2 linked regions of the Saccharomyces cerevisiae S288C genome follow. The protein of the gene in region 1 interacts with the protein of each later gene in a pairwise test. Each region holds a gene or a part of one and is shown in the gene's direction. Other genes may lie near its edges. The genes, in order: AVT4 and STE14.

Region 1 (13,168 bases):
TGTTTCGATAGGAGTATTTTCATAGCTACTGAGTATTTGTTTTTGATTCTGCTGCCTTTGCGTGGCCTTTGTCACCAATTCTGCGAACAAAAATATGTTGAGACTATATGAAGCGAGTACTTATTGTCCTTTATGCCTAGTTTTCCAGTTAAATCTCTCTTAATAACTCCAGGTTTGTTTCAATTTCGTCACTAACCGCCAAACAAGTTTCGGGTCACCCCACACGTATTTGGTTCAAGAATATACTAAAAAAAGAAAAACAAGCACTAGCCCTAGATATGGAAAAAAAGATATTAAAACGTAATTCTAATTTAGACATCCGTGCTTCTAGTAATTATATGGTTAAAAAAAAAGGAAAGGAAGTAAATAAATAAGTATAGAAATAAATAGAAGCGAATAAGTCCTGAAATACAGAAAAGTTCTTATGCAGAGCCAGATGCCGCAGCATTCTTACCTTCGACCTCGGCCAAAGATGGAATGGACACATCACCAGAATGGATAATATTGTTAATGGTGGCAAAGATGGCTCTCACTGAAGAATCACCGACATCTTCGGAGACACCTACACCCCATTTGTAGGCCTTTTCGTTGTCGGCATTACGCCTATACGATAGATGGATGTAAGAAGCAGCTTGCGTAGAAGAACCAGAACCTAGAGAATGCTCTGTGTAGTTTGCTACGGCAAATCTCACGTTCAACAAGTTTGATAGGGCGTCGACCAAAGAAGAGATTGGACCATTACCTGTACCTTCAATATCGACGATCTGGTCGCCTACTTTGACTTGACCAGTGAACACTCTACGTTCAGTGCCGAATTTTTCAACATTATAATTGACTAAACTAATAGCTTGGTACTGTTCGTCATTGTAGTTGTAAGCCTCTTTGAATAACTTGGAAATCTCATCTGATTTTAGTTCTCTACCCAAGGAGTCAGCATGGTCTTGAACGGCGCTAGAAAATTCGATTTGCATGTTTCTTGGTAGATCCAAACCCAAAGATCTCAAAATAACCCAAGCGGCACCACCTTTACCAGACTGAGAGTTGACTCTGATGACAGCTTCGTAATCACGGCCAATGTCCTTTGGATCCAATGGCAAGTATGGGATTCTCCATTGAGTTTCACCTTGAGCACGCTTCTTGTTTTGTAAGTTGAAACCCTTCTTAATGGCGTCTTGGTGAGAACCGGAAAAGGCACAAACGACCAAGTCACCGCCGTATGGTGCTCTTTGCGATACTGGGATCTTATTACAACGCTCAACCACATCTAGGACAGAGGTCAAGTCAGAGAAATCCAAATTAGGAGAAACACCTTGGGTATACATATTCATAGCAACAGTAACCAAGTCCACATTACCTGTACGTTCACCATTACCAAAGAGACATCCTTCTACACGGTCGGCACCTGCAAGCATACCTAACTCTGTGGCGGCGACACCGCAACCACGGTCATTGTGACAATGTGTAGAGATGCAAACCTTCTCACGCTCAGTAATATGGGTAGCGAAGTATTCAATCTGATCAGCATAAACATTTGGAGAGGCAACTTCTACGGTAGCAGGTAAGTTGAAAATGATTGGATTTTCCTCGGTAGGTTCCCAAGCCTTCTTAACAGCTTCGCAAATTTCTACAGCAAATTCACCTGGAGTATCACTGAAACATTCGGGGGAAAACTCATAGGACCAACGAGTGGCTTGTTGGGAAGGGTCATCCTTAGTTAGTTTCCTAACTAGTTTGGTGGCCTCTACTGCCTTGGAAATAGCTTCCTCTCTAGACATATTAAAAACAATTTCACGGAACATATCACTTGTTGCCAAGTAAGTATGTATAGTAGCCTTTTTAGCACCTGTTAATGCTTCCACCGTTCTCTTAATCAAGTGTTCTCTAGATTGGACAAGACATTGAATACTAACATCGTCTGGGGCGTTTTCTACAGCATATCTAGTGAAGTCGAAATCTGTTTGAGATGCAGAGGGGAAGGAAACCTCGATTTCTTTGAACCCAATATTGACCAGCTTGTGAAAGTATTCTTTCTTTTGTTCCACTGACATGGGATCCGGCAGAGATTGGTTACCATCTCTCAAATCTGTTGATAACCAACGAGGAGCCCTCGTGATCCGGTTATCCGGCCACTTTCTATTAGATAGCTTTGGAGCGTTAAATGGCTTGTACTTGGAGGAAGGGTCCTTAAGCATATTTTTATAGGCTAGCTTCACTGGAGGAATAACTCTTGAGGCTCTGGAGGCCGCATGCTCAGCAAGAGCAATAATACTCTCTTTAACCATGATTGTTCCTTGTCTTTTTGTAAGGAAAAAGTCTACAGTAAACTTCTAGTGTGAGAATCCTTTTTTTTCTTCAAAAAATACCCTTTGAAAGAACTGAGTCACTTACACGTAAGTTTCTTTTTACTGGTCAAGTTGAAAAATAACCAATAAATGATTATGGAAAGAACGTTGAAAGAGGAGAGAGGCTGACCCAAGAGGAGAAAACATCGAACCTACGCGACTCCATAGCGCACATCTCCCATGCGCCCGTGCTTATATATATATAAATATACATACACACATACATGCACGCACATACATGCACGCGCATGACAGTGACTGGCCGTTACTGTACAATTTTTTCAGCCAAGTATGACACACATTCAACTCAGCTTTTCTGAGGCCTTCTTTCTTTTCCTGCGCGTCGGTAGAGCGATGACTAACCTACTACTGTCTCAGAGCCGGTCCCGCTCCGGTAGCAATCCTGGGGCTGGTCATAACAGCCGAGTGGAAGTGTCAAAGCGGAGAACAGAAGCATAAGCTCAATCGCTGGACATACGGATGCTTATATACGTCTTATTGTCGTTGAAAAATATCGAATTTTTTACTTCATTTATCGAGGCTTCTTCGAGCACTTTTCCGCTATGGCTTTTTCCCCGTTTCCTTTTAATCACGTGCGCGGGTAGCACCCGGCACACAGCTGGTGTCTCGTCGCACATGCTATTGTGTGTCATCGGGCCACACAAGCATATTGCTTGAATTTTCTTTCATCGTTCAACTTAAATCCACCCAATCTAGATGTAGCCGTAGCATGTAATAACGTATATCCTTGTTTACATGCATCTGTGCCAGGTGAAACGGTCTGTTTGAACGCACATCATTTCATATATTAGTCAACTCCTGAAGGTCTTCTTGCCTGTCCGTCAACTGTTTAGACAGACTCTCGTCAATAAAGCGCACTTCTGATAAGCACTTTTATTCCTTTTTTTCCACTGTGAACGATGAAGCAGGAGCAGTCCCACGAAGGCGACTCATACAGCACGGAATTCATAAATCTCTTTGGCAAAGATACCGCAACACACCCTAGCAGCAACAACGGTGCTAATAATAATGGCATGGGGAGCACGAACTCGTTGGACCAGTTTGTGGCAACAGCCTCATCGTCATCTTCTCTGGTGACCAGCAGCGAGAATAGGCGCCCCCTAATAGGTGACGTTACCAATAGGGGCAACACTAACCTATATGACCACGCTGTCACGCCAGAAATACTCTTAGAACAGTTGGCCTACGTGGATAACTTCATACCATCTCTGGATAACGAGTTCTCTAATGTGGATTGGAATGTGAATACCACCCATAATAATGCAAACAATAATGGCGCGGACACTTTCAGCAGCATAAATGCAAATCCTTTTGACTTGGATGAACAACTAGCCATTGAGTTGAGTGCGTTTGCCGACGATTCTTTCATCTTCCCAGACGAGGATAAGCCGAGCAATAACAATAACAACAGCAATAATGGTAATGACGACCATAGCAACCACGACGTATTGCATGAGGACCCTTCTACCAATAATAGACAAAGAAATCCTCACTTCTTGACTCAAAGAAGGAATACTTTCCTAACTTCCCAATACGACCAATCAAAGTCTCGATTTTCGTCCAAAAACAAAAGAAATGGCAATAACGGCGAAACAAACAACTTTGGCGACAATATGCAAAATAACCATCCTTTTGAGCCAAACTTTATGGGAAGCCCTTCTCAGTTTCCCGCTGACGCAACTAATATGACATCAATCGACCATGGCGGCTTCACAAATGTTGACATTACATCAACTGAGAACAATACTACCGGTGACAATGGAGTGGATGCGCTATCAAATCTACTACATAGGACAACACACACACCGAACCGCTCCTCCCCCCTAAGCAATGTCACTTCTGCTCAAAATTCCTCTTCACAACAACGAAAACATTCGGAAAGCAAAGTCGATAGTAACAGCGATAATAACAGCTCCAACAAAGCCCCCAATATAACTGTTCCTGACTATTCAATTATACCAACCTCTGTTTTAGTAACTCTATTACCGAGGGTCAACGTGCCCAACGGCGCATATAACTCGTTGATCAGCGCGGGATTTGACAATGATCAAATAGATGCTATAGCCGCAATAATGGCGTATCATCATCAAAAAAAGATTAGGGAAAATAACAGTAATAATAATAAAAACATCAACACCAATGACAGTCAAGAGGCACCCATTCTAAAAAACATCAACGAACTTTTAAGTGTCTTAATACCACCCTCTCCGGCTGAAACTGCTGCGCCAACTACCTTATCAACGTCGCCTTCGTTCAATGAGCACGGTGTAGTAGCAGAGGCTTCTTTTCTAAGCTCCATTTTGGAACTGGGCATAAAGCATCCAAAAAGTAATAATATTCACAATCAACGACAACCTTCACGAAACGATCATAAAATATCAAGAGAGAGTGACGGTAACAATGGAAACGATAATGTCCATCATAATAACGCTGTTATTAAGTCAAGTACGACGCGTGGAGACGAAATTGCCAAGATACGATCCGAGCCAACTTTAAATGCAAGTTCTTCTGATCACAAGGAAAATAGTTTAAAAAGATCACACTCCGGAGATTTGAAAAATAAAAAAGTACCCGTCGACCGCAAGTATTCTGATAATGAAGACGATGAATATGACGATGCAGATTTACACGGCTTTGAAAAGAAGCAACTGATCAAGAAAGAGTTAGGGGACGACGATGAAGATTTATTGATACAGTCGAAAAAATCTCATCAAAAAAAAAAACTAAAGGAAAAGGAGTTAGAATCATCGATACATGAACTGACCGAAATTGCAGCATCCTTACAAAAACGGATACATACGTTAGAAACGGAAAACAAGCTTTTAAAGAATTTAGTTCTGAGTAGCGGTGAAACGGAAGGAATAAAAAAAGCTGAAAGCTTAAAGAAGCAAATTTTTGAGAAGGTTCAGAAAGAATAAAATAACAGACTATACAGTTTAATTATATATATATATATATATACGTGCATTTTTCTTAAAGAAATATAACTTTTTTCTTGTACTGCCTGCAATCTCTATTCTTCATTCATCACACATCTATTCAAACGCGTTAAAATTTTTTTGTTAGCCTATAAGTAAAACGCGTCGCGTGTATCCAATTTTACTGAATTAAATTCTTTACTCATTGGATGATATATATCTTCTTGGTCTAGACAACGAACACATACCAATTCAGACTCACGAGAAAAAAAACTGTCTTCACTCTGCTATTAGAAACCAAATAGTATCAAGGCATAAAATAAACAGTGGAAAATGTCTTCTAAAAGTGAAAAATTAGAAAAATTGAGAAAGCTGCAAGCCGCTCGAAATGGTACATCCATCGATGATTACGAAGGTGACGAATCAGATGGTGACAGAATATACGACGAAATCGACGAAAAAGAATACAGGGCCAGAAAGCGCCAGGAATTGCTGCATGACGATTTTGTTGTAGATGACGATGGTGTAGGCTACGTCGATCGTGGTGTCGAAGAAGATTGGAGGGAAGTTGATAACAGTTCAAGTGATGAAGACACTGGAAACCTTGCTAGCAAGGATTCTAAAAGGAAGAAGAATATAAAAAGGGAGAAAGACCACCAGATTACAGATATGCTGCGAACTCAACATTCCAAATCAACACTGCTAGCACATGCAAAAAAATCCCAAAAAAAAAGTATCCCCATCGATAATTTTGATGACATTCTTGGTGAGTTTGAATCTGGTGAAGTAGAAAAACCCAATATTTTACTGCCATCCAAATTAAGGGAAAATTTAAATTCTTCGCCGACTAGTGAATTTAAATCGTCAATAAAGAGAGTTAACGGAAACGATGAGTCAAGTCATGATGCCGGTATTTCTAAAAAAGTCAAGATTGATCCAGATTCAAGTACTGATAAATATTTAGAAATCGAATCATCACCGTTAAAATTACAAAGCAGGAAACTGCGCTACGCAAATGATGTACAGGATTTATTGGATGATGTGGAAAATTCCCCAGTAGTAGCCACAAAGAGACAGAATGTACTTCAAGATACGTTACTAGCAAATCCACCATCCGCTCAAAGTTTGGCTGATGAAGAAGATGATGAAGATAGTGATGAAGATATTATTCTGAAAAGAAGAACTATGAGAAGTGTGACAACAACTAGACGCGTGAATATAGACTCAAGAAGTAACCCTTCAACTTCACCGTTTGTCACAGCACCCGGAACGCCAATCGGTATTAAAGGACTAACTCCAAGTAAATCTTTGCAGAGCAACACCGATGTTGCTACACTTGCGGTTAATGTCAAAAAGGAAGATGTGGTAGATCCGGAAACTGATACTTTCCAAATGTTTTGGTTGGATTACTGTGAAGTGAACAACACTTTGATTTTATTTGGTAAGGTTAAACTAAAGGATGATAATTGTGTGTCAGCCATGGTTCAAATCAACGGTCTCTGTAGAGAGCTATTTTTCCTTCCAAGAGAGGGTAAAACACCTACCGATATACACGAGGAAATAATTCCGTTACTGATGGATAAATATGGACTGGATAATATCCGCGCTAAACCTCAAAAAATGAAATATTCGTTTGAGCTTCCTGACATTCCATCTGAAAGTGATTATTTGAAAGTCTTACTTCCATACCAAACACCGAAGTCCAGTCGAGACACCATTCCATCGGATTTATCTAGCGATACCTTTTATCATGTTTTTGGTGGGAATTCCAATATTTTTGAAAGTTTTGTTATTCAAAATAGGATTATGGGACCATGCTGGTTAGATATAAAGGGAGCAGATTTCAATTCAATTCGTAATGCTTCTCACTGTGCGGTTGAAGTTTCGGTAGATAAGCCTCAGAATATCACGCCTACTACAACAAAGACAATGCCTAATCTGAGATGTCTATCTTTATCGATTCAGACGTTAATGAATCCCAAGGAAAATAAGCAAGAGATTGTTTCGATAACGTTATCAGCATATAGAAATATCTCGTTGGATTCACCGATACCTGAAAATATAAAACCAGACGACTTGTGTACTTTAGTAAGGCCGCCTCAGTCAACTAGTTTCCCATTAGGTTTAGCTGCACTGGCAAAACAGAAACTACCCGGTAGAGTCAGGTTGTTCAACAACGAAAAGGCCATGCTATCTTGTTTTTGTGCTATGTTAAAAGTGGAAGACCCAGATGTTATCATAGGCCATCGTTTGCAAAATGTCTACTTAGATGTTTTAGCTCATAGAATGCATGATCTCAACATTCCAACGTTCAGCTCTATTGGCCGTCGTTTAAGAAGGACTTGGCCTGAAAAATTCGGTAGAGGAAATTCGAATATGAACCATTTTTTTATTAGTGACATTTGCTCTGGTAGGCTGATATGTGATATCGCCAATGAAATGGGTCAATCATTAACACCCAAATGTCAAAGTTGGGATCTTTCAGAGATGTATCAAGTTACATGTGAAAAGGAGCATAAGCCGTTAGATATTGATTATCAAAATCCACAATACCAAAATGATGTAAATAGTATGACAATGGCCCTACAAGAGAATATTACTAATTGTATGATTTCTGCTGAGGTGTCTTATAGAATTCAATTATTAACCTTGACTAAACAGTTGACAAATTTGGCTGGTAATGCATGGGCCCAAACGCTAGGCGGTACAAGAGCTGGTAGAAATGAGTATATCTTACTACATGAATTTTCAAGAAATGGTTTTATTGTTCCTGACAAAGAAGGCAATAGAAGTAGAGCTCAGAAACAAAGACAAAATGAAGAAAATGCTGATGCACCAGTTAATTCTAAAAAGGCAAAATATCAGGGTGGTTTAGTTTTTGAACCTGAGAAAGGTCTTCATAAGAATTACGTTTTAGTCATGGACTTTAATTCTTTGTATCCATCTATTATCCAGGAATTTAATATATGTTTTACCACCGTTGATAGAAATAAGGAAGATATCGATGAGTTACCAAGCGTACCTCCTTCAGAGGTGGATCAGGGTGTTTTACCAAGGTTATTAGCTAATCTGGTGGATCGTCGACGTGAAGTTAAGAAGGTGATGAAAACTGAAACTGATCCCCATAAGCGAGTTCAATGTGATATTCGTCAACAAGCTCTAAAATTGACTGCCAATTCTATGTATGGTTGTTTGGGTTATGTTAACAGTAGATTTTACGCAAAGCCGCTCGCCATGTTAGTCACTAATAAGGGTCGTGAGATTTTAATGAATACAAGACAACTAGCTGAAAGTATGAATCTTCTTGTAGTTTATGGTGATACAGATTCGGTCATGATAGATACCGGTTGTGATAATTATGCGGATGCAATTAAAATTGGCTTGGGATTTAAAAGGCTAGTAAATGAGCGCTATAGATTATTGGAGATTGATATTGATAATGTTTTTAAGAAGTTACTATTACATGCCAAGAAAAAGTACGCTGCTTTGACTGTAAATTTGGACAAAAATGGTAATGGAACTACTGTTCTAGAAGTTAAAGGGTTGGACATGAAGCGTCGTGAATTTTGTCCACTTTCGAGGGACGTTTCTATACATGTTTTAAACACCATCCTGTCAGATAAGGACCCAGAAGAAGCATTGCAAGAAGTGTATGATTACTTAGAAGACATCAGAATAAAAGTGGAAACCAATAACATTAGAATTGATAAATATAAGATCAATATGAAGCTTTCAAAAGATCCCAAGGCCTACCCAGGTGGTAAAAACATGCCTGCAGTCCAAGTAGCTCTAAGAATGCGTAAGGCTGGTAGAGTTGTTAAAGCTGGCTCTGTCATCACTTTTGTGATCACAAAGCAGGATGAAATAGACAATGCAGCGGATACGCCGGCTCTTTCTGTGGCTGAACGTGCCCATGCATTGAATGAGGTAATGATTAAAAGTAACAATTTGATACCTGATCCACAATATTATCTCGAGAAACAAATATTCGCGCCGGTAGAAAGGTTGTTAGAAAGAATTGATAGCTTCAACGTGGTGCGTTTGAGTGAAGCGCTTGGTTTAGATAGTAAAAAGTATTTTAGAAGAGAGGGCGGTAATAACAATGGAGAAGATATTAATAATTTGCAACCCTTAGAAACAACAATTACAGACGTTGAAAGGTTTAAGGATACTGTAACATTAGAATTAAGTTGCCCATCATGCGATAAAAGGTTTCCATTTGGTGGTATTGTATCTTCAAATTACTATCGCGTGTCATATAATGGTTTACAGTGCAAGCATTGTGAGCAACTTTTTACTCCTCTTCAATTAACTAGCCAAATAGAGCATTCTATAAGGGCACACATTTCCTTATATTACGCAGGGTGGTTACAGTGTGATGACAGCACATGCGGTATAGTTACAAGACAAGTCTCCGTTTTTGGTAAGCGTTGTTTGAATGACGGCTGCACGGGTGTCATGAGATACAAATACAGTGACAAGCAATTGTACAATCAACTTTTATATTTCGATTCTTTATTCGATTGTGAAAAAAATAAAAAGCAAGAATTGAAGCCAATATATCTACCCGATGATCTCGACTACCCCAAGGAACAGCTGACAGAATCATCTATTAAGGCTTTAACAGAACAAAACAGAGAACTAATGGAAACCGGCCGGAGCGTTGTTCAAAAATATTTGAACGATTGTGGACGTCGCTACGTTGATATGACTAGCATATTTGATTTCATGCTAAATTAGGTAAGTATTTTGTATGTGTTGTGTGATCTCATGAATATTCTATATAGTAAGAAAAGAATACAACTGTACATACGCATCCTACTAGATACCTAATGTACAGACATCGGAAGGAGCGCTAGGAAGCTTTTATTATTGAAGGTTTTCAGCGATATTCTGAGAATGTTTTTTCGGCTCTGGTGATCAGTTCTCACATGCATCATCCTTTAATAAACCCATGCATTAAGATTCGCCTTATCAGCAAGATCAGATAAGCGAACAGCTTCATCAATGAAATAGAATGCTTAAATCTTGTGAAGCACTGTCATAAGCCAGTTTGATAAAAGCAATACCCACAATATAGTTGGATATCATTTACCTTGATCTGCTCTTGCTTTCGAGGTGACATAGCATTTTTAGCCATCTGATTCCTTAGGTTCAAAGGCACTCATCATTCCTCCTCTAAAACACATTTCAACGTCATTCATAATCTGGAATCAACATAACAATATCCTAGAACACATCATCAATGGTCACTAACAATGGAGATGGTGAGCACCTTGGGATCCGAAGAAACGGAAATTTAAGGCATCCTTCCAATAATATGAAAATTCCCAGAAGGGCTCAATCAACAGTTCTCAATTCAAACCCATTTTATAGTAGGAAGTATTCTATGTCTACCTTAACGCCGAGGGATATATGTCGAAGCGTTGATTCTAGAGTATTTGTGGATATGTCTTCTCCCAATTTTCAGACTCTGGAGGATCCCCACAGAGATGAGATTATAAACAGTGTACGGCTTAACTACTTGAACAGTAGCAAAAGAAGTTCCGTCTCTCATGGAAATGAAGCAATCCCTAGGGTTAATCCGACTAAGAATTCTTCAGCAAGTACCATAGCTGCAGCAAATGTTGATAGTGATGACGATGAGACTAACCTGAGTAGCGCTGGAGGCGACATAACGCATGATATTTACAAGTTGGTTAAAGCAGAGGATCCTAAACGGCTCAGACGCCCTCGGTCCATGGAAAATGTAACACCTAAAATTGAGCACCATACTAAATTGTCATCAGCAAGTGGTTTAAATGTCCCCGGTGGCTTCAGAAGGGAATTTATTGTCAACAAAAAAAGGCAAGAACATCAATTAAATGATTCCGCTAGCTCAGACTTCACTTCGCATGAAAGCGATTCGATTAACCAGTCATCTCCATCTTCTAACCAAGATATCGATAAGGTCCCCTTTTTAACAAGAAACTTTTTGGAATTTCTATACGTGTTTGGACATTTTGCTGGTGAATCCTTCGAGGATGATTTTATCCCTGATAGCTCAAACATGATGATACGCGGAGAAGATGAAAGGAGTGCATTGCTGTCTCGGCCTGACCATATGAAAGTATTACCTTCAGCCAAAGGTACGACTTCGACAAAGAAGGTTTTTTTGATATTGCTTAAATCTTTCATTGGAACTGGCGTTTTATTTTTACCTAATGCCTTTCATAATGGTGGTTTGTTTTTCTCAGTAAGTATGCTGGCCTTTTTTGGAATTTATTCATACTGGTGTTACTACATATTGGTGCAGGCCAAATCTTCATGCGGTGTATCCTCCTTTGGTGATATTGGTTTAAAACTGTATGGACCTTGGATGAGAATAATAATTCTTTTCTCCCTAGTAATAACTCAAGTTGGATTCTCTGGAGCTTATATGATATTTACTGCAAAAAATTTACAAGCTTTTCTTGATAACGTATTCCATGTGGGCGTCCTACCTTTATCTTACCTGATGGTCTTTCAAACGATCATTTTTATTCCACTTTCGTTTATTAGAAACATTTCGAAATTGTCACTACCATCTTTACTAGCAAATTTTTTCATCATGGCTGGTTTAGTCATTGTCATTATTTTTACAGCCAAAAGGTTGTTTTTTGACCTGATGGGGACCCCAGCAATGGGTGTCGTCTATGGCTTAAATGCAGACCGTTGGACGCTGTTTATCGGGACGGCAATATTTGCTTTCGAAGGAATCGGGTTAATTATTCCTGTTCAAGACTCAATGAGAAATCCTGAAAAATTTCCTTTAGTACTTGCTTTGGTGATTCTAACGGCAACCATACTTTTCATTTCCATAGCTACATTGGGATATTTGGCATACGGCTCAAATGTTCAAACGGTTATACTGTTGAACTTACCTCAAAGTAACATTTTTGTAAACTTAATCCAGCTGTTCTATTCCATCGCAATTATGTTGTCCACACCTTTGCAGTTGTTTCCAGCTATTAAAATTATTGAAAATAAGTTTTTTCCAAAGTTCACTAAAATATATGTCAAGCACGATGATCTAACAACAAGAGTCGAATTACGTCCTAATTCAGGAAAGCTGAACTGGAAAATTAAATGGCTGAAGAACTTTATTCGTTCTATAATCGTAATCATTGTTGTATCAATTGCTTACTTTGGGTCTGATAATTTAGACAAGTTCGTTTCAGTTATAGGATCCCTCGCCTGTATTCCTTTGGTATATATATACCCATCGATGCTGCATTTACGGGGCAATAGCCTTCCAGAGACTAAAGGGGAATTTTGGAGATTCAAACCAATGTTAGATACCATTTTAATTTTCTTCGGTATTGCAAGCATGCTTTATACGTCTTACCAGAGTATATTCGGTGTCTAGACGATATATGTTGTTGCTTCATAAAGAATTTATTTGGAATCGAGGAACACTATTTTGCCATTGTCGCCATTGACAGCTTGCAGTTGCAAACGTCTTCTTAATTCACTTTATATAAACAAGGACCGCCAGGTCACAGTATTATTCGCACGAAATTATGTAGTAGGTAAAAAACACTAAAAGCATTACCCCTATATTGTTATTTAATGTTCCATCTACGATTAGTAGGTGGTGAGCATGTCTGAATATACACAATTTCATATTTATTATCAAGTTCAAGATTGCCAGAATTTTATTTTTTTTTCCAATCTGCGAATAAGCTTGATCCGATTACTCCGCTTAATGCCCCGACAACCTGAGAACTTTTAAACATATCAAGGAGTAGAGTGGGATTAATGACAATGTGATAGTTTCATAATTAAAGTAAGCAGTCAAAGACAGAAGCAGCACACCATTTACCAATACAGCTTCCAAAATGGTAAATTTTTATGATGACGTGGATG
Region 2 (11,594 bases), on another chromosome or scaffold:
GTTCAGGACTCAGTGATGACAATTGATGTGATGTCGCTACTTCTAGATACTCAATCCATAATTCGTATTGGATTTCGGGGGGAAACAGAGGGATTGTTTTCTCATACACCTGAAAACTTTCCATGACTTCGTAATGATTTTGTAAGAACAATGCAAAATTTTCTGCCATTGCTGGAGTGATCAATCTCAAATCAATAACAGTATTGTATGCCATTTTTGTCTTATTGAATATTTTATCGGAGGAATTTGCATCCTTTGGGCAGTAAGCCTCTAGATAATCAATGTATTTGGACCAAATACGTAATGAGTTGAATAGAACAGTTTGAGCAGGTATTTTTCTGTGTCCATTCTTATATTTTTCGAGGAGAATTTCTGGATTTGTTGGCACATGTAATGCATCTTCAAGGATAGAAAAAGCTCTTTCCACCCCTTCTTTATCTAATTCTCTATCAGCCCAGTTTAGGTAAATTTCTTCCAGATCTTCTATATAAGGATACGGTACCTTCAGAGATTGTGTCCACAATTCTCTAGCTGTACTAATTGCGTTTGATCTCCAATACAAATCCCCATACGAACACCAAAGCCTACCGAAAGAGCCAGGCGTACCAACTTTTCGGGGATCAATTTTCAGTATAGCTTCTGAATACACATTACACTTTTCCGCTGCTGACTTCTGCAAGGACACTCTTTTCATCCACGTTTCCACCAAGTTGGAATCTTGCCTTAGTGCGACATCGTTCAAATAGATATCATATAAGTTGATTAAAGATTCAAATGTCGCCATATGAGCTTGTAACTTTTCAGTCCAATCTTTTTGATTAAAGAATTTGCTGTCATTTTCCTTTAGCTTTCCCAGAATAAATTGGGAGCACTCTTGCTCAAATAGCAAATAGAAATTATAGATGCGATCAAAATCACTGTACCTAAGTGTTTGCTGTAAACTTTTCTTCAATAAATCACCACAACTGTCAAGCCTCCCGCGAGAGATATAATATTTGGCAAGTGATAGGATCAAAAAAAGCCATTTGTCGGGATATATGCCATTCATTTGCCTCATGAACTCCTCATATTGATTATCTAAACCTAGTTTTTCTAGGCTGGCCAAATAATTGAAATTTAATTCAAAAGGCAGTTCTGAACTAGGTAGATACTTCCCACTATTTTCATCTTGTGGCAAATACTTTTCATATACTGATTTGATGGTAATATTGTCTCTAGTTAATGCAAGAGTTGCCAGCGATTCATTTCGTTTTTGCTGAGGAGCCACTTTTAAGTATCTTTCTAAAATATGTGACGACCAAATATCACCTCTACTTCCGTTTTCACTAATTTCCTCGCTAATAAAACCTCCCTTCGTGAAACCCTTCACTAAAAGTACATTTATCAATTCAGCTTCATCAGTACTTTCTTCTTCATCTTCTTGAGTTGAATCCAGTTGCGTTAATGGTAAAACTTTTTCTTCCACAAATTTTATGACAGGATCCCAAACTTTCCGATGCATTTCTCTCTCCATTTTCATTAAAGATGAAGCTAAGGCATGCCTTATCATTGCCAAGTCATATTGTTCAATTGCCAATTCTAAATAAGACAAACATATCCTGTCACAATCTCGTACACAGCTTTTCAGGCACCTTTGAAAAAGCCAGAAAATACGTGAAGTTTCGACTACTTCCTTTGTTGATTCCCAGCGTATATAATCTTCCCATATACTTGTATCTGTTACAAATTGTGAACAAAATCTTTCATATAGCCACCTAATCTGTTTGTCAGTTCTTCCCTCCTCTTTCCAATACTCGATATATCTTTTCCATGTAAGTATGTTCTGCGGTGTCTTTTGTATTTCGTACTCAAAAGCCACATCTTCATCATTTCTTATGTTCTCATCGACGTTTGTTATTACTCCTTTCATTGCGATGTATGCTGACATAGGATATATGGACACAATAAGTTTTGCGGTACTGAAGGATAGTTGAGTCCAATATGGAGGCCTGATTATTTCCTTTTTTTCTATCTATTTCCTTTTGTATTATTTTGACTGAAAAGCTTGCCAGCGTCTTTACTAAAATCTTTCATATGTTCGGACCGCTATAGTAAACTGAAACTTGATATTCAATAATTATCAATCTTCGAAGCTAAAGAAATACAAAATCTTTATTCGAAAAAGTAAGTAACATAATCAACCGCTGATTAGCACAATATGAGGATACAGTCGCTTTTTGTTTTATTTAATGTTGCCATCATCGCATGGTCATATCCATATGAGCCTTTAAGGGTTTTACAAGTAGGAGAGAATGAGGTAATGGAGGTTCCCGAATCAGAAAAGCTAAACTTACGAAGAAGAGGTGTCAAATTCTTTGATGTGACCAAACACACTTCTTTCTTACCTTTCTTTAACAAGGAGGAAGAGCCAACAGTACCAACGTATAACTATCCTCCTGAGATATCGAACAAAGAAGTAGTGGATGATTCGATTAAGAATATAGACAAGGGCTCTATGCACAAGAACTTGGCAAAGTTTACAAGTTTTTACACCCGTTACTACAAGTCCGATCACGGCTTTGAATCTGCCGAGTGGTTAGCTGCAACTATCGCTAATATTACAAAAGATATTCCGCAAGATACGTTGACTATTGAACATTTTGATCACAAAGAATGGAAGCAATATTCAATTATAGTCCGTGTCACGGGATCTACTACGCCAGAAGATATTATAATAATTGGTTCTCATCAAGATTCTATCAATCTGCTACTGCCATCCATAATGGCAGCTCCAGGTGCGGACGACAATGGGTCAGGCACGGTGACTAATATGGAGGCTCTCAGATTATATACGGAAAATTTTTTGAAGAGAGGATTTAGACCTAACAACACTGTGGAATTTCACTTTTATTCCGCCGAAGAGGGGGGATTGTTGGGTTCTCTTGATGTTTTTACAGCTTATGCCAAACAGAAAAAGCATGTGAGAGCGATGCTTCAGCAAGACATGACGGGATATGTTTCTGATCCAGAAGATGAACATGTGGGGATTGTCACCGACTACACTACTCCCGCATTAACTGATTTTATAAAACTAATTATCAACTCTTATCTATCCATTCCTTACAGGGATACACAATGTGGCTATGCTTGTAGCGATCATGGGAGTGCCACCAGAAACGGATTTCCAGGCTCCTTCGTGATTGAAAGTGAGTTCAAAAAGACTAACAAGTATATTCACAGCACCATGGATACTTTGGACAGATTAAGTCTCGCTCATATGGCGGAACACACAAAAATTGTATTAGGGGTAATCATTGAACTCGGGTCATGGTCCGCTTGGTAAAAGTCAGTAATATGCATACATAACTAATGATGCCTTACCTTGGTGTTCTTTTGTAATATACCTAAACCGATATCACGCTAGTATTTATTTCCCGAATTTTTTTGGCGTATTTCGTCATCTGAAAATAACATAATCAATGAAAGAAATAGAGTCAGTTGCAAAAAGTGCAAGCCAGCGCTAACCGCTCCCGATTTAGTCGCAATATTGATGGCAAACAGTACCAAAAACTGGTTACCCATATAAATTGTTTGGCATTGTTATTATTGTTATAAATTATTATTGTTATTATTATAAATTATTATTAGTATTATACAAAGTTTTCAATTCTGCAACAAGTTGGGCCGCAAAATATGGAGAAAAGCGAAAGTAATTCTGAAGGACTTTATCTCCAAAATATATTAAATGTTCCCCCTCCGCAGCGATTTATTGTGCTCATAATACTTGCCCTTTGGATCTGGACATGGATATTAAAATTCTTCTTGCATAGTAATTTAGACGTATCCCAAGTCATACTCACGAGAGTACCGCACGATATACGTCCAGGTTATACTCTACAGCAATTGCATAGAACAGCTAGAAATTTTGCTTTGAAGATAACAAGGATTATTATACCGTTCCACTTTGCCACTGTGTTCCTTTTTGAGTTCATGAATATTATAGAAGGTCCACTCAAAAATATCATTCTCATCGTATATTTTCTACCATTGATCCAATGTGTCACTATATTTTGGTTTCTGTTGAAAGAGTGCCAGATAATAAAATATTGTACTAGGAGATGTTTGTTGATAGAATCCTCCCCCCGTTCCTTAAGGAATACCTACATTTTAATCTCTGACACGTTGACATCGTTTGCAAAACCATTGATAGACTTCACATTGTTTACCTCTCTAATTTTTAGAGAACCCTTCACACATTTTGATCTATCCGTAGCCCTTCTTCCTGTACTGGTAAGACTACTGCAGTGTTTGAGAGAATACCGTTTACTGCACGAAGCAACTTTACTATTCAATGCATTGAAATACAGTTGTAATCTTCCCATTCTTTTTTGCACCTGGAGATCAAGAGTGTATGAGGGATCCATCAACGAAGAAAGACTACACCACGTTCAAAGATGGTTTATGCTAATTAATTCTTCCTATACGTTATTTTGGGATGTAAGGATGGATTGGTCATTGGACTCGTTAACCTCTTTAAGATCCAGATCCAAAAGTGCCGTCACATTAAAGAAAAAAATGTATCATTCGGCGATTCTCGTTGACTTTTTGCTGAGGTTCTGGTGGCTATGGGTATATTTATCGCAGAATCTGAAATTAGTTGCCGCAGATAGCGACTACATTTTTTTCCAAGGCGAAATGCAGTATTTCGAAGTAATTAGAAGAGGCATATGGGTCGTTTTCAAATTGGACGCAGAGTATTATATTAAGTTTGCAAGCAAATAATTTGTTGGGCAAGCCATATAAAATCATGCAAATGCTGTAAATATTTGTTCTATTTTCCCCGTAGAATGGTTTATTCGATATATTACATATAATAAACGAAAAATACATATGCACAGTATATACTTTTCCAAAAAAAAATCAAACACTGTTTGAGCGTCAAGAAACCCCAGGCGGTGCCCGACGATAATGCGACTGCATTATCTCCTACGCTTGTTGTCGTTTGCCTTTCTTTGGTTTATTCTTCGTTCATTTTTGGTCAAATATCTGAACTTTTTTACTCTTGGCTTCTTCTTTTGTTTCTCATCCACGCCCAGAAACTTCGCGTATTTGGTGGCTCTATTTATGCTTTGTTTGAGTACTTTTTCTGCCTTTTCTAATTTGACATTATTTAGCTGGGCTAAATATTCAAAGTTATCATTGGGTTCCAATGTCTCCAATTCAACAGTAGTTGAGTCATCGTATATTTCCGTGATTGCTCCTTTCTTCAAAATAGGCTTTACGCTACTTTCATTATTGTCGTTATCGCCGTCATCTTTATCAGAATCAAACCCGTGCCAGGATTCATCAGATTCTACCTGCAAATCCTCCGTCTTATCATTTTTCGCATCCTCTATCTCAGCTTCCAAGTTTAAACTCTCTTTAAACGTCTTTAACTGTTCTTCCATCACCTCCTTACGTTCCTGCCGAATCTTCTGTCTTTCTTCAATTTTTCTAAGCCTTTCCTGCTCCTTAATAAACTCTTGTGCTTTCTTTTGTCTTTGAAGCTTTCTCTTGTGAAAGCCAGTCAGATAATCCAAACGAGAATCCTTGTCGAACGTCACCTCATCGGTACCGAATTTCTTTGATTGCTTTGTAGCATAGTTTTTGCCTCTTGTAAGGATTTGCCTATTGGTGTGAACAGCCATAGCAAAAATCGAAAACCTTTAATTCACCCCTCTTGATTCGAGCAGCTACCAGGAACTTGAATATTGCAACTCTCTATTTTTTATCTGCTATTATCTGCTGCTTTGCAGAATCGATCCTCATCACATTTGAAAAATTTCAAATGTGAAAAGTCCCTACTTACCCGTTCGCGGCTCATGAAATCGTGTCCTCTTCAATATAAGACAAGAGTATCAAACAAAGGATATAAGGCAAAATACAACAAATTACCAGTGAATTCCGCATTTCCAAGTCAAATCAAAAACTATTTTCGAGGAAATAATGGCAGGCCCAAGGAATGTGCGTACATTACATGGAAATGGAGGCCGTAATAATGATGTGATGGGCCCAAAAGAATTCTGGTTAAATATCCCCCCAATAACAAGAACTTTATTTACTCTAGCGATCGTTATGACGATCGTCGGCCGGTTGAATCTAATCAATCCGTGGTACTTTATTTATGTTTGGAATTTGACGTTCAAGAAGGTTCAGATATGGAGACTTCTTACTTCTTGTGTAATGCTTTCGTCTCGTGCCATGCCTGCGCTAATGGAACTATATAGTATTTATGACAGGTCCTCACAGTTGGAGCGAGGGCATTTTGGTCCCGGTTTGTCCAATAGACGAGGACCGATGGTAACAGTAGACTATGCCTACTACCTGTGCTTTTGTATACTAGCCATCACTACGGCCACTACAATCATTTATGGGTCCTACTACCCTGTTGTGCTCACCTCTGGGTTCATATCATGCATTACATATACTTGGTCGATCGACAATGCCAACGTGCAGATCATGTTTTATGGTTTGATTCCTGTTTGGGGGAAGTACTTCCCCTTAATTCAATTGTTTATCTCTTTCGTTTTTAATGAGGGTGATTTCGTAATCTCATTGATCGGTTTTACTACAGGGTACCTTTATACATGCTTAGATACCCATACACTGGGGCCAATATGGGGGATGATATCCAGAAAAGCTGATCCAACCTACGGAATCTCGCCCAATGGGAAATTCTCAACGCCATGGTGGTTTACTAGTCTATATGCTCGCATAACGGGTGCCCACAATGAAACTGCAACATTCAACAACAACTTTGCCAATGTGCCATCTTCGCAAAGAGAAACGAGAACTTTTAGTGGAAGAGGTCAACGATTGGGTACGGCCCCTGCAACATTGTCTCAAACCAGTGGCACAGATTCAGGCAGAGCTTCTGGAAGTCAATTAAGAAGTGGCCCATCGAATTTGAACCAATTTCAAGGCCGCGGCCAACGAGTAGGACAAACAAACAGCCCCTCCGACTCACAATAACAACTTTTATCTATTTCTATGTACTTTGCCATTCATTATATACATCAAGAGAGTCTGACATAGTATTTTCGTTGGCATAGCAACCGATTGATAATGAAACATCACTCAAGACGAATTGACAAATGGGCCACTATGGTAAAACAATTCTTTACATGATACCACCAGTATATAGAAAGGTTCTCGTGTTGATGAATTATATAAGAAAGTGAAAATCGATTTCAAGATAATTACTCTTTTTACCTCCTCTTTCATTGTGGTCACCGTTTTTGAACACAACATGCACCAAGATTTTCAAGAAGACGAGCATGAGTATCCAGACATCAGACGCAATCCGCTGCATGAGGTGACCATGACTTCCTACATACTGGGGATTCTTTTAGGTATATTTGTTGGTCTTTTTCCACAAATTAGATTCAAGAATTTTAACCTCTTTATTATTGCCCTGTCCTTATTCCATTTTTTGGAGTATTATATTACAGCTAAATACAATCCTCTTAAGGTACATTCAGAGTCCTTTCTTCTGAACAACGGCAAAAGTTACATGGCGGCACATTCCTTTGCTATTCTGGAATGCCTCGTAGAAAGCTTTCTTTTTCCTGATCTGAAAATTTTTAGCTACTCTCTAGCTACCAAGCTTTGTACAGTACTTGGATGTCTTCTAGTTATTCTGGGACAATATACCAGAACTATTGCTATGCATACTGCGGGACATTCCTTTTCTCATATTGTGAAGACCAAGAAGGAGTCCGATCATGTTTTAGTGAAAACTGGCGTTTACTCCTGGTCAAGACATCCAAGTTATCTTGGGTTCTTTTGGTGGGCAATTGGCACTCAGCTACTGCTTCTAAATCCCCTATCATTGGTTATTTTCATTTTTGTACTTTGGAAATTTTTCAGTGATAGAATTCGTGTGGAAGAAAAATATTTGATAGAGTTCTTTAGCGCGGAATACATAGAATACAAGAATAAGGTTGGTGTCGGAATACCTTTTATATAATAGTAATGATTGTGTTAGTTATGGACTGGATTTTTGTGTTATGTAAGATTTTATCTAATCTTGTGCATCTGTATTTGGTAGGTAATAAATGCTAGGGGAATGCAAACAGTGATATTGCCTTTGAGTATTGAAAAGAAGAAAATATTTCTTTTTCGAACGGAAAATTATAGAAAATGAAGGTCATATGCACAATTACAAAGAAAATATTTCATGAAAGAGCTGGACGGAACCGTCCAATTTTAGCCTCGTTTTTAACCACTGTTGTATTTCTTTCCATAATCTTGCGTTTTCCATGTACCCATTATGGGTGAAGTTGAGGATGTATTAGAAAGTTGTCTTTTTTGGGGCAGTACATTAGAGTAAGGCCTCCTTGGAATGAATGGATTTACAATGAGTCTGGACTTCTGCAACGGTATGGTTGCAGTGTTGGGAGGATTGGGGACACTGTTTTCATTGTTTATCAAAGGAAGCCCAGACTTGTTAGAGTTTGTACGAATTGGGACGTTCTGGGGCAACGTGGGAAGTACAGGCGTAGAATTTTGTCGCCCGACGTCATTCCTCGTGATTGCTTCTGTTGTTGGTAGAGAGTTATTCCTTTGATCAAGCCCATTATTCGACAAAATAGTTGCCCCACGCAATGTTGAATCAGGGAATCTTGTGGTATTCAAACGTGGATCATTAAATCTTGAGTTCACGGTGGAAGGAAAGGACATATCCATATTCTGTTCACGTGGTGGAAAAACTGAAGATTCTTGAGGCTGGACAAATGAATCTGATATCGATGCAGTATAACTGTTGGAATTTATGGGAGGCCTTATTGTTTTATCGGGAACAGTGGATCCCCTGGGATCTAATGAACTCATTCTTATTAAGGGAGGGGTACTGAGAGCGCTCGAACTTGCATTTGAAGCGGTGTTTCTTGGCGTTGGGGATGATACGCTAACATCTGGAGAGATTAAGTGGGATGAATTATCAACAGCAGTCACATTTAAAGGCGTTTTTCCCAGAATGTTCGGCAATTGTTTACCAATATAACTGGAACTGTTTCCGAGGTACTCAGGAATAACCCTGTTTGTCACCGGAGTAGTAGTTTCTGAAGCAACTATGTTATAACTTTTTGGATCCAGGGTTCTCGAGGGTGCACTTGAACCTTTTTCAGTTAGAATATCTGTATTAGTACTTTTAAGGTGATTGCTAGTTATTTCCGCCATAAGTCGATCATCATCATCGTCATCATTATCGTTCATTAAATTTTTAGTATGATTATGACTGGGAGTATTACTGCGACTACCATGATCATGTTTATTATTACTATTACTATCATTATTTTCGATACTATTATTATTATCATTATTATTATTATTGTTATTATTATTATTATTATTATTTTTATTATGACTATCATTATTTTTGATACTATTATTATTGTTATCATTACTATGCCTGTTGCTATCATCATGATTATTAGTAACATGAGGATTATTTCCATTTGGTTCGTCATCATCACTATCGAGATTTATGATAATCGGTTCACTTGGATGTGAAGAAGAACAATGATGATCCGATACTGAAGTACCTTTTTCTGGGCTTCTACTACCATCATTGCTGTCACTGTCGCTGTCATCATCGTCTTCCAATATGGCTGTCCACTTACCATCAGAAGTAAGTTCTACCTGTTCAACGTTTTTTTGACAGTTCTGTAAAATGTCATCAACAAATTCGGAAATTGCTAAATTTTCCAAAGCTATATCAATTTGACATACTGGGCATTGCCACGTAGGAATTTGTAGTTGGGAGTGTAGGAACCATAATGCATCAAAACATTGCAGATGCTTACAATTTATTGATTTTGAAGGGTATTTCATTCTTGTGTACGAAATTGGACATTGCAGACTCATGATAGTAGATGTGGTAGTCAAGCCCATTTCTTCATCCTCCCGAAGTGTTTTTTTCAAGTAAAGTAACGTGGCTTGTTTAATAATTTTTGGATGCTGTAATACTTTTTCCAGGAGTTGCTCCGGAGTGATCATTTCTACAATGTACCCAAATAGCTTGTATTCCTTCGTGGTGAAGGCATATATCAGCTCCACATTGTTTTGTTGAGTATAAGGTTTGAGATGAGGCGTTAAATCCGCCGGCTTAGCTGTGCCCGGCTTACTCTTGAAACCTCTTATATTATCTTTGATTTGAACATTATTGCACCTTAATTCATTTGGGAATGGAAATTGGATGGGTTCATTACCTCGGGATCCTAATGGATTAATCATCCCAGAAAATAAGTATAGCCTGTGTTTGCTATTCGGGTTACTTAATAGATTATAGTCTGCTTTGGACAATTTAAATTTCGCAGAGCACATACCTCTTCCGCCTGTGACTTCCACGTTCATCACTAATTCAGGGATTAGCCTTTGTATTTTGTAAAATGGAGACTCTTTAAAATGAATTGTCGGTACAGCAAAAGATGATGAAGAAGAAGAGGCATCTGGATTTGTAGGTGGTGGTGCACGAGATGTGGAAGATGTGGTAGACGTTTTCCGCCGTTGAGTGGGAGACTGCCTAATAACGGAAGGTGATTGCTGCTGCACCGTGGGAGGCCCCTCCATAGAACGTACTGTGATAGCACTCAATGGGGTACCCTTTCTTAAAGCGTTCCAAAGATCTTTATAAACAGGCAAAGGTTCATTCTTTCTGATCCGTTCTATCAGAAATTTAACGGCTTGAACTCTATAAGGATCAGACTTGCCTACTACTAAAGCGTTCTGCAAGAAATTCCTGATAAGGTCCTGTAGAACGGCCTTGCGACCGGAAACCGGGAAAGATACAGACCTGCAAATATCCTTCAATTCGGACACTTTCAGCAGTTCCATCAGAGTGATGGTTTCCTCCACCTCGTTTCTTAGTTCATTAGTCGGTTCCCTATCAGGCCCAGGCGTTTCATCTTCCCAGTAATCCTCTAAATTTATCATTGAAACAGAATGTATATGGAACACTCAACTGTTTGAGTTGGAGTCTTCTTTTCTTGTGAAATATGGATGAACTCCACTTCATTCTTTCATATTCATATTAAAGATGATACACTTTTCAACTTACTATCTGGTGCGGTGAATGGGTGTATACATTGACTACAGCTCAGGTGACATCTAGGGGCCGTTTAGTGTAAGAATATAAAGTACAATCCAAAAAGGAAAATTATACTTGTTTAAGAAAAGAGGAACCTTCTGCTCGCTCTAAAATGGTAGTTCTAGTGATAGTTTAAAAATGCATTTTCCTTCCGACTTCGAAGATAGATTTCAGCATAAAGACTAAAAGCGTCAGCAAGGATTCGAATGAGTGACTCGTTGCTAGTGACTCTGACCTGTTTTTTATTCCAGCAAGAGGAAAGTTATATAGAGTAGTTTATGAAGAGAAGACACTTCTAAAGTTGAATAACGCTCCTAGCCTCAAGGTTGATGATTTAACTTGCAGCAAGCGCAGGTGAGAGCCAACACACATCAATAATCTTTCCAAAAGCTATGGCCAGAATTGTCGTATTAATTTCGGGCTCAGGTTCCAACTTGCAAGCCTTGATCGATGCCCAAAAGCAGGGCCAATTAGGCGAGGATGCTCA

What was found.
Region 2: the proteins of AVT4 (region 1) and STE14 interact in a protein complementation assay, tested with the Saccharomyces cerevisiae proteins (one large-scale study listed by BioGRID).

The regions. Positions count from the first base shown.
Region 1 is NC_001146.8:424,473-437,640, forward strand, and holds AVT4 (Avt4p), read left to right. Parts: upstream 1-10,526; coding exon 10,527-12,668; downstream 12,669-13,168. Other genes in the region: phosphatidylinositol-3-/phosphoinositide 5-phosphatase INP52, read right to left, coding at 1-23; 2-isopropylmalate synthase LEU4, read right to left, coding at 423-2,282; MET4 (Met4p), read left to right, coding at 3,263-5,281; DNA-directed DNA polymerase alpha catalytic subunit POL1, read left to right, coding at 5,615-10,021; MIC27 (Mic27p), read left to right, coding at 13,141-13,168. UniProt on the Saccharomyces cerevisiae protein: Involved in amino acid efflux from the vacuole to the cytoplasm. Capable of transporting large neutral amino acids including tyrosine, glutamine, asparagine, isoleucine and leucine.
Region 2 is NC_001136.10:1,288,765-1,300,358, reverse strand, and holds STE14 (protein-S-isoprenylcysteine carboxyl O-methyltransferase), read left to right. Parts: upstream 1-7,267; coding exon 7,268-7,987; downstream 7,988-11,594. Other genes in the region: mRNA splicing protein SYF1, read right to left, coding at 1-1,927; YDR415C (putative aminopeptidase), read left to right, coding at 2,198-3,322; ERD1 (Erd1p), read left to right, coding at 3,673-4,761; rRNA-processing protein RRP17, read right to left, coding at 4,959-5,666; DFM1 (Dfm1p), read left to right, coding at 5,965-6,990; SUMO ligase SIZ1, read right to left, coding at 8,239-10,953; ADE8 (phosphoribosylglycinamide formyltransferase), read left to right, coding at 11,500-11,594. UniProt on the Saccharomyces cerevisiae protein: Mediates C-terminal methylation of the isoprenylated C-terminal cysteine in A-factor mating pheromone and Ras proteins.